3 linked regions of the Rattus norvegicus genome follow. The protein of the gene in region 3 interacts with the protein of the main gene of each other region in a biochemical or structural test. Links are inferred from orthologs where the notes say so. Each region holds a gene or a part of one and is shown on either strand. Other genes may lie near its edges.

The links.
Region 1: the proteins of Rbbp8 (region 3) and Klhl15 form a complex in vitro, tested with the Homo sapiens proteins (2 studies listed by BioGRID, with this or other methods). The link is inferred for Rattus norvegicus from reciprocal best matches to the Homo sapiens genes RBBP8 and KLHL15.
Region 2: the proteins of Rbbp8 (region 3) and Ctbp1 form a complex in vitro, tested with the Homo sapiens proteins (3 studies listed by BioGRID and IntAct). The link is inferred for Rattus norvegicus from reciprocal best matches to the Homo sapiens genes RBBP8 and CTBP1.

Annotation. Positions count from the first base shown.
Region 1 is NC_086039.1:63,036,097-63,041,327, reverse strand, and holds the end of Klhl15 (kelch-like protein 15), read right to left. Parts: intron 2,659-5,231; coding exon 1,549-2,658; 3' UTR 1,486-1,548; downstream 1-1,485. UniProt on the Homo sapiens protein: Substrate-specific adapter for CUL3 E3 ubiquitin-protein ligase complex.
Region 2 is NC_086032.1:81,685,302-81,691,080, reverse strand, and holds part of Ctbp1 (C-terminal-binding protein 1), read right to left. Parts: intron 5,644-5,779; 5' UTR 5,458-5,643; coding exon 5,451-5,457; intron 3,455-5,450; coding exon 3,300-3,454; intron 1-3,299. UniProt on the Homo sapiens protein: Corepressor targeting diverse transcription regulators such as GLIS2 or BCL6. Has dehydrogenase activity. Involved in controlling the equilibrium between tubular and stacked structures in the Golgi complex.
Region 3 is NC_086036.1:3,196,341-3,202,861, reverse strand, and holds the start of Rbbp8 (DNA endonuclease RBBP8), read right to left. Parts: upstream 4,378-6,521; 5' UTR 4,211-4,377; intron 1,127-4,210; coding exon of another isoform or gene 1,032-1,126; coding exon 923-1,031; intron 1-922. UniProt on the Homo sapiens protein: Endonuclease that cooperates with the MRE11-RAD50-NBN (MRN) complex in DNA-end resection, the first step of double-strand break (DSB) repair through the homologous recombination (HR) pathway.

The DNA of each region.
Region 1 (5,231 bases), on a different chromosome or scaffold from region 3:
ATCTGGCAAGCTAAGCCAGTGTAAGCTTTAATCACATACAGACTGCTCATGAGAAAATGGCGTCAATGGTATCAATTTGAATGATCCATTCACAGATCATTCTTAATTTTTTCAGCTCTATTTCCTTCCTTCGAATTTAAAGAGTTGAAATGTGCAGCTAATCCTAAACCACTTATTATAAATGCCTTTAAAACAGCTATTTGAGATTCATTCCAAACTTTCCGGTGACCTATCCTTCATGCTAGTAGCTTCCAGAAACTACAAAAAAAAAAAAAAAAAGGAAAAGAAACAAGAAAAAAGAAAAACAAAAAACAACCCACATTGAGGGTTGATATCTCTCTAGTGCCAACGAATATTTTGTACAAACTGATCAAGCAGATATAATATAAGCAGTAATATAACTCGTCCCTTACCTCTCAGTCAAAACTGAGCTCAAATTGACTGTGTAAGAGTTGCTGGCCCACATTCAACACCTGCAGCAGCCTGGAGGGAAACAATGGGGGTTTCACTTCCTCTTAAGGGGCTTTAACTTAGGAGTGTGTGGTATTACCTAACTTTCCTTTAAAAGTGCTTGTATGATGCAGGGTCAGAGCTTGACACAGACCACTCAGATTCTCACTAAAAAGGGGCAACCAACATTAAACAGACTGCAAAGAAAAACATTTTTAAACAAGAAAAGGCATACATTGACATGAAACATTAATGCTTAGTTTTGAAAACAAAATGCCAAACGTTAGCTTTTGTAAATCCATACATGTTTCAGAACTATGAGTTCAAATTTTACTGAACCAGTACGGACAGAGGATAGACTACTTTGATACCAAATGAGGACTCCAGTTATTTTAACTTTCTAAAAACATTAATACATTAAAGACATTACATCTAAATTTCAACAAGTATGGCGAACTGTCTGTGCAAGAGCACTAGCTTAAAAATATAGAATCCTAACCACGCATAAAAGGAGTGTGCCTTATATATTTCTAGGATGTATATGAGTATGGGTATGCTTTCACTAACGCAATGCACATAAGAGAAGGCAGCTTAGAAATAGTGTTCTGATATAAAAAACTTTTGTAAAAAATTTAAATTTTTGCATTTTCAGCAAAAAGCCATGCAAAAAGGTCAAGAGTTTTAAACTTTTAAATAATAAACCAAAACATATAGCAGACTAAAATAATTTCCAAAGAGTTCAAACAGAGGGACTGAAATCAAATCCAGTGACACTTACTGGGTCTTCTCTTAGAAGATGCACAAATCCTACACTAACATCTGAAAGAAATATTTAAAGCAGAAGGATCAACTTCCCGGGTAAGTGGAGCAGTGTATGTATAAACTGCTTTGGAAGTAGTTTCAAGAGCTAGTGCTTCAAAGGAACTTATTGCATGAGTTTGAGGCCACTGAAAGGAAAGATGCTAGCACAGAATGAAAACTTACAATATTAGACCAATGGCTTTGATAGTAAAACTGGTGAGGTTTTTCTTTATGCTTTTAAACTACTGTATCACAAATGCTTTATTTGCCTTTTTCCTTTTAGGGAGAAAGATGTCATCAGTTGCAACGCCTAACCTCATCCAGTACATAGTCCGGAAAATGGAGGTTGCACACCTGTAAACCATCCAGCTTGCAGGGCATCCGAGGGTACTCATCTTCTTTCCACTTATTTTCATCTGGGTCAAAGGTGAGAATGGAATCACTGTAATGACCATTATAACAAAGGCCCCCAAGGACCATGATTTGTTTGTCCAGCACAGTCACACCGTGACCACTTCTACCAATTGGCATAGATGCCAAGATGGTCCATTGATCAGTATCTGGGTTATACACCTCTGTGGAAGGGCAGCCCTGAGATTCAAAAGAGGCCCTCAAGATCACACAGACACCACCAAAGACATAAAGCTTGCCATTATAAGAGATCATCTTGTGAAAGCATCTAGCATAATTCATCTTGCTTTTATTCTCCCAGCAGTTGGTAACCACTTGAGTTCTCCTGGTCCGCTGTTCTATGGTCCCTTCTTTACTGGGGTCAAATACACACACCTGTTTAGATGTGGAAGATGAAGTGATTCCTCCAGTGATAAACAACTTGTTATTGAGCACTGTCCCCTCATGTCCATATTTGTTAACTGGATAAGGATCTACGAATTCCCATTTATCGTTAGTGATATCGTATCTTTCTGTTGAGTAGAAAGTTTCATCTCTTGTTCTGCCTGCTACAGCATAAATAAACTTCCCAATGACACCAACAGCAAATTCTGAACGTGGTACAGACATGTCTGCCATACGCAGCCAAGAATTTTGTCTTGGATCATACCTGAACACTTTCGAAGAGGCATGGAATTCTCCATCGGGGCCCAGCTCTTCGCCACCTAGCAGGAACACAAAATTATTGACAATGGCAAGGCAGTCTGGTCTTAGAGGTACTTGGGGGCCCTCCAGTTCCCACCAGACTCTTGGTTTCTTTAACAGGAGTATTTTACTATTAACCATGCTATGTCCAATCATTCCTCGGAATACTGTAGTTTGGGGTTTGGCAGAACGAATACGGCTTGATTTCATGTCCAACAAGGGTTGCTGGTGAACATTTTGGAAGTAATTCAATGCTTGGTCAACTTCATACCGCAGCTGTCGGGAGTATCTATAAAATTCTGATGTTTTAACCTAGGAATACAAATAAACAAATTCAACCAAAAGATAAAACATAAACAGAAATTAAACTATTAATGCCTACTAAAATGATCCAGATATTATTGGACAGAATCCTTTGCTAAAATTGTATTTCCTAGCCAAATTATCTACTTTGTTTTCTACAAAGTTTTCTCATTGTAATTGGTCTTATAACTTGCATTTAGAATCACATATATAGCTCTCTGCTCCCAGACCCCGTGAGAGAGAGACCTAACCGCCTGGTCAGGTGGGCACTCCTGAGGCTGCAGAGCGGAAGAGACCACCAACACTGCCCACCCCTGCCCACATCCCTGGCCCAAGAGGAAACTGTATAAGGCCTCTGGGCTCCCATGGGGGAGGGCCCAGGAGCGGCAGAACCCCTGCCTGAGACACCGCTGGAACCTGAAGGAAACAGACCGGATAAACAGTTCTCTGCACCCAAATCCCGTGGGAGGGAGAGCTAAACCTTCAGAGAGGCAGACAAGCCTGGGAAACCAGAAGAGACTGCACTCTGTGCACATCCACACGCCAGAGGAAAACACCAAAGGCCATCTGGAACCCTGATGCACTGAAGCTCCCGGAAAGGGCGGCGCAGATCTTCCTGGTTGCTGCCGCCACAGACAGCCCGAGGGCAGCACCCCGTGAGCGAACTTGAGCCTCAGGACCACAGGTAAGACCAACTTTTCTGCTGTAAGTGACCTGCCTGGTGAACTCAAGACACAGGCCCACAGGAACAGCTGAAGACCTGTAGAGAGGAAAAACTACACACCCGAAAGCAGAACACTCTGTCCCCATAACTGACTGAAAGAGAGGAAAACAGGTCTACAGCACTCCTGACACACAGGCTTATAGGACAGTCTAGACACTGTCAGAAATAGCAGAACAAAGTAACACTAGAGATAATCTGATGGCGAGAGGCAAGCGCAGGAACCCAAGCAACAGAAACCAAGACTACATGGCATCATCAGAGCCCAATTCTCCCACCAAAACAAACATGGAAAAGCACCAGAAAAGCAAGATCAAGTTTCAAAATCATATTTGATCATGATGCTGGAGGACTTCAAGAAAGACGTGAAGAACTCCCTTAGAGAACAAGTAGAAGCCTACAGAGAGGAATCGCAAAAATGCCTGAAAGAATCGCAAAAATCCCTGAAAGAATTCCAGGAAAACATAAATAAACAAGTAGAAGCCCATAGAGAGGAGACACAAAAATCCCTGAAAGAATTCCAGGAAAACACAATCAAACAGTTGAAGGAATTAAAAATGGAAATAGAAGCAATCAAGAAAGAACACATGGAAACAAACCTGGATATAGAAAACCAAAAGAAGAGACAAGGAGCTGTAGATACAAGCTTCACCAACAGAATACAAGAGATGGAAGAATCTCAGGAGCAGAAGATTCCATAGAAATCATTGACTCAACTATCAAAGATAATGTAAAGCGGAAAAAGCTACTGGTCAAAAACATACAGGAAATCCAGGACTCAATGAGAAGATCAAACCTAAGGATAATAGGTATAGAAGAGAGTAAAGACTCCCAGCTCAAAGGACCAATAAATATCTTCAACAAAATCATAGAAGAAAACTTCCCTAACCTAAAAAAAGAGATACCCATAGACATACAAGAACCTACAGAACTCCAAATAGATTGGACCAGAAAAGAAACACCTCCCATCACATAATTGTCAAAACACCAAACGCACAAAATAAAGAAAGAATATTAAAAGCAGTAAGGGAAAAAGGTCAAGTAACATATAAAGGCAGACCTATCAGAATCACACCAGTCTTCTCGCCAGAAACTATGAAGGCCAGAAGATCCTGGACTGATGTCATACAGACCCTAAGAGAACACAAATGCCAGCCCAGGTTACTGTATCCTGCAAAACTCTCAATTAACATAGATGGAGAAACCAAGATATTCCATGACAAAACCAAATTTACACAATATCTTTCTACAAATCCAGCACTACAAAGGATAATAAATGGTAAAGCCCAACATAAGGAGGCAAGCTATACCCTAGAAGAAGCAAGAAACTAATCGTCTTGGCAACAAAACAAAGAGAATGAAAGCACACAAACATAACCTCACATCCAAATATGAATATAACGGGAAGCAATAATCACTATTCCTTAATATCTCTCAACATCAATGGCCTCAACTCCCCAATAAAAAGACATAGATTAACAAACTGGATACGCAACGAGGACCCTGCATTCTGCTGCCTACAGGAAACACACCTCAGAGACAAAGACAGACACTACCTCAGAGTGAAAGGCTGGAAAACAACTTTCCAAGCAAATGGTCAGAAGAAGCAAGCTGGAGTAGCCATTCTAATATCAAATAAAATCAATTTCCAACTAAAAGTCATCAAAAAAGATAAGGAAGGACACTTCATATTCATCAAAGGAAACATCCACCAAGATGAACTCTCAATCCTAAATATCTATGCCCCAAATACAAGGGCACCTACATACGTAAAACCTTACTAAAGCTCAAAGCACACATTGCACCTCACACAATAATAGTGGGAGATTTCAACACCCCACTCTCATCAATGGACAGATCA
Region 2 (5,779 bases), on a different chromosome or scaffold from region 3:
ACCAACACCCAGCCTGTACCTCTTCTATGGGTGCTTCTGGGTCTGTCCACTTAGGATAGGCCTCCAAGAAACTATCCTTTGCAAGCAGCTCAATCTCCTCATCCATCAGCTGTGTAACCAGGTTAGAGATCGGACCCTAGTGGACTTGGTCCTCAACACCAGAATGGAAGAATCTGGGTCCCAGATGTTCAAAGCAGGCAGAACATACGATGAATGACTAATGTAGGTCAGCTATCTTTGGCTGGAAATGGGTCCTGAGTGCACCCAGTGGCAACAAGTTCTGAACGAAGCATATGCCCCAAACCACGAGGTTTCATGGTCAGGGCAACCTCCTGCTGAGAGAACACTGAAACTCCAAACCAACCGGCATGGTTTTATCACCTGGTATGAACAGCAACAGCTATCATATGAAACTGCAGCTCTTCCCACCTCACCATCACGCCAGATATTTTCCTGCTGACACAGTCAAGCTGCAGACTATCCAACTTCACAGACACCTGGGGTCCTTGCAGCTGTCCTGCTCCACAGAAGGAAGTGGCATCCAGGTCTCCTACCGTGTGAATTTTGAGTTTTCATGGGGCCAGAAAGGGACTTGCTCAGTGGTTAACATAAGCAGTACTTCTCTGGCCAGCTCTCTGCAAGGACTCCTTTTCCGACTGGGAGAGCATGAAGACCTCACATGTGGTGCCCTTGGGCCAGGGCACAAAGGGCTCGCTTGACCTCGCTGAATCTTACTGCTGCTGACTTTCCCTCTGAGTATTTGGAATACCTACAGATTCCTTCTGAAGTTGCATTAAGTCTCCTGCTCTTCCAACTGCTGCCATCCAACCAGAAACCATCCCAGGCCTGGATCTTAGTTCAACAGCACTTTGCCCAAATACCTGAGGGCCACACACGTCCCTTGGTTCCCTGCTTTGTTCCATCAAAGCATAAGCAATGGGTCTCAGAGTCTCGGGCCCTGGTGACCTGTGGCAATGGACTCCTGCACACAGTGAAACCCTCTCCTCTCAACGTCTGTCCTGATTCCAGATGTGTCTACAGCTTGAGCCCAAGGTCATATTGCAGCCTGCTGGTCATATTAAACACTTCTGCCCACTTTTTTTTTTTTGAGCATCTTAGGTGTAAGAGACTTCCTCTAGCCTGGGGTGTTCTCTACCCATGGGTCATAGAGCGTCATTCTCCCATCTCCACAGGATCCCTTCGGAGACATCTACTCCCCTAAGTCCTCACTTAGCACATGCTGAGAGCCGTGTCCCTGGGTTCCTCCTGGGCTCCATACAGCCCTGGGCTAAAGATCATTTGGCTGACAAGTTGTACAGCCCAGGGATGCTCTGAGATTTCTGCCACAAGGTGACTTTCTCACATCCACAGTCCCTTTAATACTCCTCCTGGATCCACGTCAGAAGAGCCAAGGTCTCTGTAAAGTTTTCTTCGTCATGTGCTTCACTGACACTTAAGGTGCTCATGTGCATTGCAGACAGCCACACCCAGCCAGTTGTGAGGACTTTTTGCTCTAAAAAGGTGGAAATTATCATACAGCAAAGATATATAAGACAATTCTCTCCTTTCCACACCTAGAGACAGGTGTGATTCCACATGCCCTATTGCATTTTCAGTTATTTGGGTACCATTCTCCTGTCTTGTGGCTGTGCCATTCTCTGTATATCCCTTACCTCTTAGAGTACAAGGTTTCTGCCCAAGCTTCAGCCATCACACCCAATTTCCAGCCAGCAGAAAGAGGAAAGGTGATTTCCCTCAGTGACATGTACGCCAGGTGCTATGTGCCTGTGGTCATACCTTGCCTGGGCCAGAATCTGTGGCAGGATACACTGCCCAGCATGTCACCACAGGACACTGAGTGGTGTCCAGTTTGGCTACTGTGAATCAGGTAAGGTATGACTTGAATGCAGGTCATGTCTGCTAGGACAGTGGCCCCCAGTATGGTTGCTGGCATGCTATAAGGGTGTGTAACAGTATAGAGTACACTGACTACTGCCCACGCCATGCTACAGGCTCAAGGTCCTTAATTCACAGTTTCCTGTTGTGTGGGGAATCCATCTACCACTGTATTCTCAGTCTGTACAGCAGCTCCCCCTGAGCCCTGTGTCTCATTAACTTACCTGCTCCTTGCTCCTACTCCCCTCCTATTTGCCACTCTTCCCCCAAGGCCTAAGAATCAAGACTTCTGACCTCTGCTTGCTTGCTTGCTTCTATGCCCTAAGTGATAATTTTTACTTTTAGCTTTAGTGTCTTGAAGCCCTGTGTTTTCAACTTTGTTCCTTCACATCTACCTCATGACCTTCAACATGACAATCTCAGTTTTTCTCTTGGCGGAAGGCAGTCCATCCCGTAGTCAGACTGGGTCTCCCGTAGATCAGAAGCTCTATTCTACTCACAGAGTCTTACCTTCTTATAACTGATTGTCTATACAGAAGTGACAAGTACCCAAGGACTACAGACATGCACTGGGCTCAGACTGAAATGACTGTCCCAGATACTCTGCAGCCACTGGGAAGCAAGGCTGTAGGTTCACTACATGCTAAATCCCATACCTGGCAGACTTAGAAGGCTGAGTAGTAGGCTATGTGAAAATAAGTTCAGATATGGGTTTCACTGCCCTCTGGGTTTGAGGCAACATCTGCACCCAGCCTTTGAGGCCATAGTGCTGGCAAGAACAGAGCTCACCGGTCTTCCCAGTGAAGCAAGTCTCAGGCTAACCATGCAGACCATCCATATCAGCAGGTGCCAGGTCCCTTGTGGTTTCAATCCCTGTCAGCTCCTGAAGCTCTTTAGACTGTTTTAAGAACATTTTCAAGCTGTCTTCAATACAAAGTATGAATTAACTTTGATACAAGCAGAAACTAAATGAATACATTCCAGGTAACAAAGAAACACAGCATATCTGAGCAAACATGAATCACAGAAGCTGCTCAGAGCTGCTAACCACCCGACCACAAGCTCTAGGCAGGCACTGGGTGAGGATATCGGTCCTTTTTTCTGTATGCCAGGTAGCATCAAGCACAATCACTGCCAGGTGCCCACAGTTCCGCTTCCAATGAACTGGCTATGATATATGTCAAGAAGCTACAGAGTAAGCCATCTCTACACCTCCTGACCAGGCCAGGCACAGGGACAGGCCACACAAGACCAGGTGGTATTCAGACCCACTGTGGCCAGAGGCCAAGGAACAGGCTGTGTGCTGACTCAGACTGCAGCCTGAGGTTGCCTGGCTCAGGCTCTGGAGTCCCCTACACCCCCATAAAGATTAGCCAACTATTACTAGGTGCATATGACACTACCTTCTCATGGATCTCCTGTGTGGACTGCGCATCACAGAAGGCTACTGTGGCCACATCCTTCAGGATAGGCATCTCCACTGTGCAGTCCCGGCCATCCAGCAGCGCCACCAGGGGCCGGGGGTGCATGGGCCCGTTCATGATGGGAGGTCGGACGCCTGCAAGAGAGGAGCAGACTACTTAATGCCCTTGGCAGCTCCAGTCTGTGACCTGAGGGCAGTACTACCCACTCGAGTTGGAAAGATCAGCCCTGAGGACTTGCTGTACTCAGCACCTGAGTTACATGGGGTTACATGGGGGCTTTGTAAAAAGCAAATTAAAACTGAGAAGGAGAAAATAGTTTTCTATAGCTTACTGATGACTGAGTAGACTCAGTCCATCAATCCCTCAAGGGCATAGGACCTAAAATCCTTGTAGACCCTAGGGAGGCTGTGGTAGACAGGAGGTCAGGGGAGGTAGGAGGCACCTCCACCCTGACTCCCTACAGCCATAGGCTGTCTTGTCAACACAGGAATGTGCAGATCACAAAATGATTCGATTCAGGAAAGTGCCTGGTTGCTCTTTGATGCCTAAAACCACCATGTGACTGCCCAGAACCCCACAAAGTGACCACAGAGTGATGTTTTGCATATGACCTTAATTAATATCATTCCTAGTGTAGATTTCAAAGGCTAAAAACAGTGAAGACAGTGAAGAAAAAAAGGGGGGCAAGCAGGGGTAATGACACTCTCAGATCCCTCCTCCCAGATCAAGGTGAGAAAGAACCTTAGGCCTGGAGTGCAACTCAGGAGCATCTGTCTAGTGGGTGTGAGGCCCTGGGTCTGATTCCTAGCTCCATCAAAGCCTTTGTGGATACAAAATCAGTTTGTTCCCAACATGACACACTAAACTAGACCCCACCTGGGGCCAAATACAGGAGCAAGGATTTCCCAGGTACTGTCTGGCCACCTCCAGCTGGGCAGCAGACACCTTAAGGAGGCTAAAGGTAGGTCCATGGTAGCAGGTAGCACAGCACAAGGCAGGACTTTGTCCAGCCCTTCCAAAAGCTGACCAAGGCACAGTGAGAAGTGGAGGACAAGAAACAAGTCACCACAGTCTTGTGCTGAGCAGGCCAGAGGGAGCCCGCAGTAGTTGCTGACTAGCAGCAGCCTGTGCAGTCCACACTCACCTTTCTCGCCTTCAGTTACAGAGGCTACCCCAAACTTCCAGTGCCAAGAAGTGCCTCAAAGAATCCATGTCACATAAAGACAATGCTCTAGGGACTGTCACACCCATGTACAGCAAGGCTCTATGTGTTCCCAGGCTTGGACCTGGGTACCTGGGCTGACACAGGTCTCACCGACCACCCAGAGACAATGGAGTTACCTTCTAGACAACACTAAGCCCAAGATCTCCAGCTGTGGGATAGAGGTGTTGCTATACAGAACCCTTCCCAGGGTCAATGTGCCTGACCCATAGCTAGATCCATCTATGCCTTCATAAACGTAAAAGTAAAGGTGCTGAGATTAGATGGACCCAGCCTTCAAGATGGGATCTGCAAGGGCACAGGTGTGCATTTGCATACTCCCTCCTTGAGCTCTATGGACCCTGTCCCTAGCTATTCCTATCACCAGGCAACAGAGGTGGACAAACAGCAACAATCTAACTGTGCTTCAGCTTGGACTCGCAAAGTAGCTTTTCTCACATCAAAGTGTTACTTCTTGTAGCAGGTAATGGACTTACTGCTACTTTAAAGGTGTTGGCAAGCTTCTACTTTTCCCATTCCCTGGCTTGAACACCATATTTTTTAAGAATCACCACTGTGGCGAGCAATGCCCATGCCAACAAATCCTCTAAGGTTACGAAGCAAGCCCTCAAAGCCCAGTCTGAGCCAACTGCCTAGGAAGTGGACTATAGCTCCTCAAGGACCTGCCCAGACTGACAGTCTAATAGAAACTCCATCCTCTCACCCTGTAGACAATGCCTCACAGAGGACCTACAGATGCAGATGTGGCTAGGCTGGGGTCTGAGATCCAAGGCAGCCTGCAAACACCAAGCATATTCCTCAGGCATCCCACAACCGTCAGCAAAGGTCAGCCCTGCCTGACTTATGCAGCCCATGTCCCTCTTGTAGTTCCTTCGCAGAGATGGCTTCACTTTGCAGCCCCTACCAACCTGACATTGCTTAATTGGGGCGGGGTTTCCACGACCATGAATTCGCCTGTCCAAAGCTTTTTGTCTTCAGAATCCCCAGGCCGAACCGCGTTCTGTCACGGAGCCTCATCCCACGTCTTATTGTCTCCAACCAAAGCTCTCAGGCTTCTGCTCCACAGCAGCCACTGAAGCCTGCGTCGGGTTCAAAGTCTTACTAAAAATCAAACACAAGAGACAAGTTAAAATGCCGTCAAAGGCCAGCTAAAACTCAGACTCCAGGAAGCTTCATGAAAGTGAAGCTTTTTGCTATATCCTTAGCCCTGTCCAGCAGCACAGCCGGAAGACCAACC
Region 3 (6,521 bases):
TATCCCCAGTCTCTAAGGTATCTTTTAACACAAATATTTATATACGCATTCTAAATACAACTACTTAATCTTCCATGCATTCACTATACTTCATATAAATCATTTACAGCTCTTATTTCACTGTACATGACTATCTCTGGCAGCCTATAGAAACTCTGGAAGCAAACTGCCATTCACTTTTGTATATGAATGTTTAATAGCAAACAGCTCCTGAATGGTTTGTCGCAGTGCTTAAATAGCACTTTTCCCCCCCTGGAGCTGAGGACCGAACCCAGGGCCTTGCATTTGCTAGGCAAGCTCTCTACCACTGAGCTAAATCCTCAACCCCTTAAATAGCACTTTTATAGCTCTAAATAATCCTACAAATAATCATAGGAAAAAGATAAAAGATTATATGACAGCTAAGATTACAAAGCCAGCAGGAAGATGAAGTTAGAATTGAAATCTGTCTGCAGTCAATAAATTCTGTTTTTAGCACCACAAAGCATAGTTCCACAAGTAACTACTGACAAGTTATATGAGAATTATGTTCTAGAGGCAGGAGAGATGATTCAGCAGTTAAAAGCATTTATACTCTTGCAGAGAACCAAAGTTCAGCTCACTGCCAATAACTCTGGTTCCATGGAATCTGAAATCCTCTTTTGGTCTCCATGGCCTCCTGAACACACATTGTACATAAATACTCATGCAGGCTCTCCCACATATACCAATTTAAAAAACAATACTCCCCCTCTATATATTCTGTAGTATTTGTAGTTACAATGTAACAATTCATCAATAAAACAAATCATAAAGCATTATAACAGTAAATGCCCTTTAAAGTTGGGACATTTGCCCCTCAATATTTCTAAGTAAAAATATATAAAATAATCAAACCTAGTTTTTACTATTATAGTCTCAAGCATTTAAACAAAGACTGTACCTTGTACTTCCTTATCATGATATTCTTTTAGTTTTGTCCAGAGCTCCTTGAAGTCACTGGATATATCTGTGGAATTAGGGCTTCCACAGCTGCTTCCTGAAATGCTCATCTTGCTTACCCGGCTCCACACTTCTTTTTGTTGATGCTCGCCTGACCTTTGTGTCCTTACATAGGTGTGACGTTGTCTTTGGATTGTTGAAATACCTGAAATGATGGATTGCAATATGTCATTTTTTTGCACGCACCTTTATGTAAGCCTGAGATGAGGATGAAAGCACAAGTGCAGCTATTCTCAGGTTTTCCTATATGTTTACAATCATTCAGAGAGTTTGACAGAAGCTGGCAAAGATGACAATCAGAGCAGGGCACAGTACACTCCTCTACTCAGAACTGGGAGGTGGATGCAGGTGGGTCTCTGTGAATTCACAGCCAGTGAGAGCTACACAGAGAGACCGTGTACAGTGAGAAAACTATGATTTCAGTTATTTGACCTTCATATAGGTAAATTTTCAGGAAGGTTCTCAATTTTCCCACCGAAGAAGGAGAAATTACCAAAATTATGTTAAAGTGAAAAGGGCTCTAATAATATTGAAAGGTTTACAGTCATCCACAATCAGAATTCATTTACTCTCGTAAGATTTACTGGGCAGCCTATGCTGGCACATGTATAATCACAGCAGTCCAGAGGTGGGAGATCTCAAGTTCAAGGTCAGCCTGAGCTATATAAGGAGACCCTATCTTTAAAAAGAAAGGGGGAAAAAAAAAAGGAATGGAAGGACCTGCAAGTAAAAGTGCCCACTAAGCCTGACAACTAGAGTTTGATCCTTGGAAGGGGAAGAAGGGTACGAACTGATTCTAACAAGGTGGCTTCTGACTTCCACGTGTGATCCAGTGGGAAGGGCACATATATTCACTTACATGGTAAATAAATACATGTACTGATGTACATGAGAATGTAGCTCATGAAAGGAGTGCTTGCTGAGCAAGTCCAAGGCCTTGGGTGCAATCCCTAGCACTTAAAAATTACTGCCTTAAGTTTTGGAGTGATGTGAAATCCAACACTGTACTGAACCAGAACTAGAAACATTCTAAAATATTACTGACTTTACAATCATTCCCATATACATGCTTTAAAACCAGGTAGATGGTTGACATATCAACACATGTATATTTCTGAGAACAAGTCACCAAGATACACATGCAGCAAAGCTCTAAGAACATATGTCTATTCAGAGGTCCAAAGCTATTAGGGTAGAGGTATGTTGTGATTCTTTCATAGTAACAGTTAATGATTAACTTTAAAAATTATGTGGCCCCTAAAAAGAAGCAACAGTCTATTAAGAAACTCAAGTGATTTAATACACATTTTAAAATGTGTTCTTAACTGAAACCATTAATTAGCCATTACAAAAGTAAAATGTTGGGCATGGTGACGCATGCCTGAATCTCAGCACTACGGAGGCTGAGAGAGACTGCTGCAAGCTAAAGGCCAACCTAGGCTACACAGAAAAATGATGGGAGAAAGCAGAAGAGAAAGGAGGGAAGAGAGAAGGGCAGGGTTTATAAAGAGCCTGGAGATTTGGCTCAGTTGGTAAAGCATGTACCTAGCACTCATAAGGCTCTGGGTTCCATCCCCAGCACCCACAAACTGAGCACAGTGGTGAATGCCTATAACCCTAGTCCTTAGGTAGAGGCAGGAGGATCAGGAGCTCTATTCTCCAGCTACACAGAGAGTCTGAGGCCAGTCTGGGATGCACAGACTCTGTAAAAACACAAAACAACTTCTGGGGCTGGAGAAATGGCTTAGTGTTTAAGAGCATTGGCTGCTTTTTCAAAGGACTGAACTTCAAGTTTTAGAATCCACAATCTTCTATAACTCTAGTTCTAGAAACTGACCTGACACACTCTTCTCTAACCTCTATAGGCACTAAGGTATACATGATATATAGATATAGATATAGATATAGATATATGCAGGCAAAGACATACATGCAGGCAAATCACTCATACACACAAAATAAAAATAAGTCTAAACTGAAACCCATTACTTTGTATACTAGCCTAAAAGTTAACTTTTTAAGGAAAAGAATGTATGCAACTACTTGGATCTTGGTAAAGCACTACAGAAATGATACATACATTTACTAAGTGTTACAAAAATTGCAGTTAGGTGCTCCTAAAAGAATCAGCAAAAATCGAGCATAAGTAGCTTTAAAATAATCTTATTAACTTTCTTGGGTACGCCAAGTTATTGTTAGTCCTCTTGGATGCAATAGTGATGAGACTATTTAAACTTAAAAAAAAATTTCTTATGCACCCTGAAAAGAATCCAGGCATGCTAGGATATATCTCCAACCCCATTTTTCTTTTTCCATTAAAAAGGCTTTGTCTATTACAGGAATATTGTGAGATAAACTACCGTTCTCTGGGATTGGTTTGAAAACTGATGTGGGTGGAAAGACGAAACAAGAACAGCTCACTTAGACAATTATTGAAGCTGAGTGATGAATGGGTATATGAGGGGATCAATACTGCTGTCTCTCCCTAAAAGTAAGATGAGAACTAATACAGTTTTGCTTCACAAGCCTGTGTGTAAAAGATACACTACGGCCAACAAGAGACTGCCTTTATGTACAACAGCATATGGAATAGACTTTTATTAGCCATATCAGAACTCTAGAAAGAGGTACAATTACTAATTTCAGTGTAGAGTTGGGCATGCCATTATAACAGATTAAATGACCTGCTCAAGGTAATACAGCTAGGGCGTGGCTACTTCGGGGCTAGGATTTGAACCCTAAACTATACTTCCGAGTAGCAAGAAAAAAAAAGTATGCCAGGCAGTGGTAGCGCACTCTCTGAGTTCGAGCTCAGCCTGGTCTACGAAGCGAGTTCAGGGCCAGCTAGGGCTACACAGAGCAATCTTGTCTTCAGAAACAAAACCCATCACCCTACTGACCCCTATCCCCCCACCCCCAAAATTTAAAAAAAAAAAAAAGGAAGAAAAGTTTAAAGGTTTAATTACTTTAATGGAAAACTTAAAGCTGAGTTAAAACTAGCAGTGCATTCGAAGTATCCTTTAGAAAAATGCATCAATGACAAAGTAGTTAAAATAATCCAGAGCTTTTGTTGTTTTGAAACAGATCTCACTACTTAGCCCTGGCTGACCTGGAACTCTCTATGTAGACCAAGCTGGGCTGGAACTCTGAAAAATCCGCTTTCGTCTACCGGAGCCACCACGACTGTTCAAGTGCTTTTGAAAACGGCTACAGTAAAAACTATCAATACCATGTTTGCAAATTTCGGCTCACAGCATCCTTTCCATCTAGTACGCTCGCTCAGCACTTTGCAGCCAATCTTTTTGCTCTGAACCGTTATTCGCTGCGCACTGAGCCCTTCTCTCTCACAACACTCATCTTGTCTCCCGGGTCTCTGTGGACACAAAGGCTAGTGACGATCCTTTTCCGTGTATCCACAGCATCGACAACCTCCACGCGAAGACGCTCGGTAAAACTAGACTGTCACACCACACAAGGGAAACGCACAGGACATTCAGCGTCCCTCTCACAAGCAAAATGCACACTCGCCGCGGCCCTCACTCCCACCGGGTCTCCATCAGCCTCAGATGCCCCTCGAGTTCCCAGCGCTTCCCGGGTCAGACGGAAGACACTTCAAACGCTACGCGAAAAGAGCGCGCTGCGCACTTGGCGCATGCGCGGGGCGGGCTCAGCGCTGAGGGGCGCGTCTCGAAGTGCGCGGGAGCCCGGTAGACTGCTTGGAACGTGAGCCCGGCCCGCGTCCTTCGGACCGGCCCGAGCCCAGACTACGTCGGCCGGTGCTTCACGCGTCTCGGCCGCCTGAGCCACTGCGAAAGCGCGGCGTCCAACCGGAAGTAGCTGCTTGGACCCTGCACGCAGGGTAGGAAGGAGAGTCCTTTTACTCACAGCTTCCGAGCCTCCCTTCAGAGTCTTCGGGATCCGTCCTCCGGGCCGGGAAGGCCCCGCCGTTCGTTACTGCCCACTTCTCGCCGAGTGCCCTACCTCTCCAGGCGGCCGAACCCACGGAGAGGACGGCCAGAACCTCCCGAAGGCTGGCCGGAGGGCGGCCGGCCCCGCCCGGCCCCGGAGGCCTCCGGCATCCCGTGACGTCACGCGGGAGTTCCCGCGGCGTCACGCCCCTTCCCCCCCAAGCCGCGGGGCGGCGGCTGAGCTGGTTGGTGGGTGGGAAATGCTTCCGAGAGGAGCTTCCCGACTCTGGCAGCGTTTGTGGAATTGTCTGGAAAATAAGCCATCTGTTGGGAACTTGACCACGAGCCCCTGGGTTGGGCGAAGTTAGCCTGGAGTGTTCTGTGACTCCCGCACGTTTCGTGGCGGGCCTGAGCTGTACCAACTTAGGGATGAGATGGAAGGATGTGGGGATGGATAGGCTCATCCTTAGTTTTCAGCTTTATAGCCATTGCCTATAGTGTAGGAATGGGTACCTGAGAGGCCTGGGTGGGAATGCCACAACTCAGAAGGATGCTGCTAAAGTTAAATGATGAGTTTCTGGCAAGTGCAGAGAAAAAAAATTGAAGTGTCTAGAATTATTTGTTAACAGGCTATTGAGTAACCCAGGTGGGCTTCAAATTCACTGTGCATGGTCTTGAACTCCTGACTCTCCTGTTTCCATCTTCTGAGTGCTGGTATTGTACCATAATAATCATAGATGAGTGGCAGCCACCACACCAGGCCAGTTTATTTTTTGACAGTGCTGGGCATCTAACCCAAGACTTTATGCATGCTAGCTAGGTAAACACTCTATCAACTGAGCTACATTCTTGGCCCTTATGTAATTTAAAAAAAAAATCAGAATTCTCTGTGGATTATTTTAAGGTTCAAAGGCCAGAAGAAGGCATTGGGTCCTCTAGACTTGGAGTGATAGATGGTCGCGAAGCAGGCAGTGTTCTTAATTACTGAACCATCTCTCTCCAGCTCCTTTTCTATTTTATAAGACAATGAAAATTAGGTTATATTTTTCCTCTAGCAAACAGGACTTGTATAGTTTCTAGTAGAAATAGCAAGTTTGGGTAGAGATGGGTGGAACCTAAGATCAGTTTGTCATTTAATCAAATACTAAAGAAGACTGGTTTTCTAAAGAAAAGCTATTTGAGGTATTTGAGAGCCTGGAGAGATGATGGCTTAGTTGTTAAGAGAATATTTAATGCTCTTAGGGAGGACCTGGGTTCAGTTCTCAGCACCCATGTTAGGCAATTCACAACTGGCTACTCTTAGTTCCAGGATTCAGAATTCTGAGTGTACCTGCATGTACATAAATTCACACAGGACACATACACATAAATACAAAATAAATCTTTTTAAAAAGCTATTTCTGAAGCTATGGTTATTGTGGTACACACCTACGATCCCAGACCTTGGGTGTCCAGGAACCTGAGTTAGGACAATTGCTATAAGCCTAGACAAAATAGCCAGACCCTGCCTTAAGCAAAATGAAAATAAAGCACATCTCTGTATGTAATCTACTTATATAAATCAGAATCCTTGACAGCTTCTCCCTTAAATATCCTATCAAACCTATCACCAAATCCTGTCAGTCATGCCTA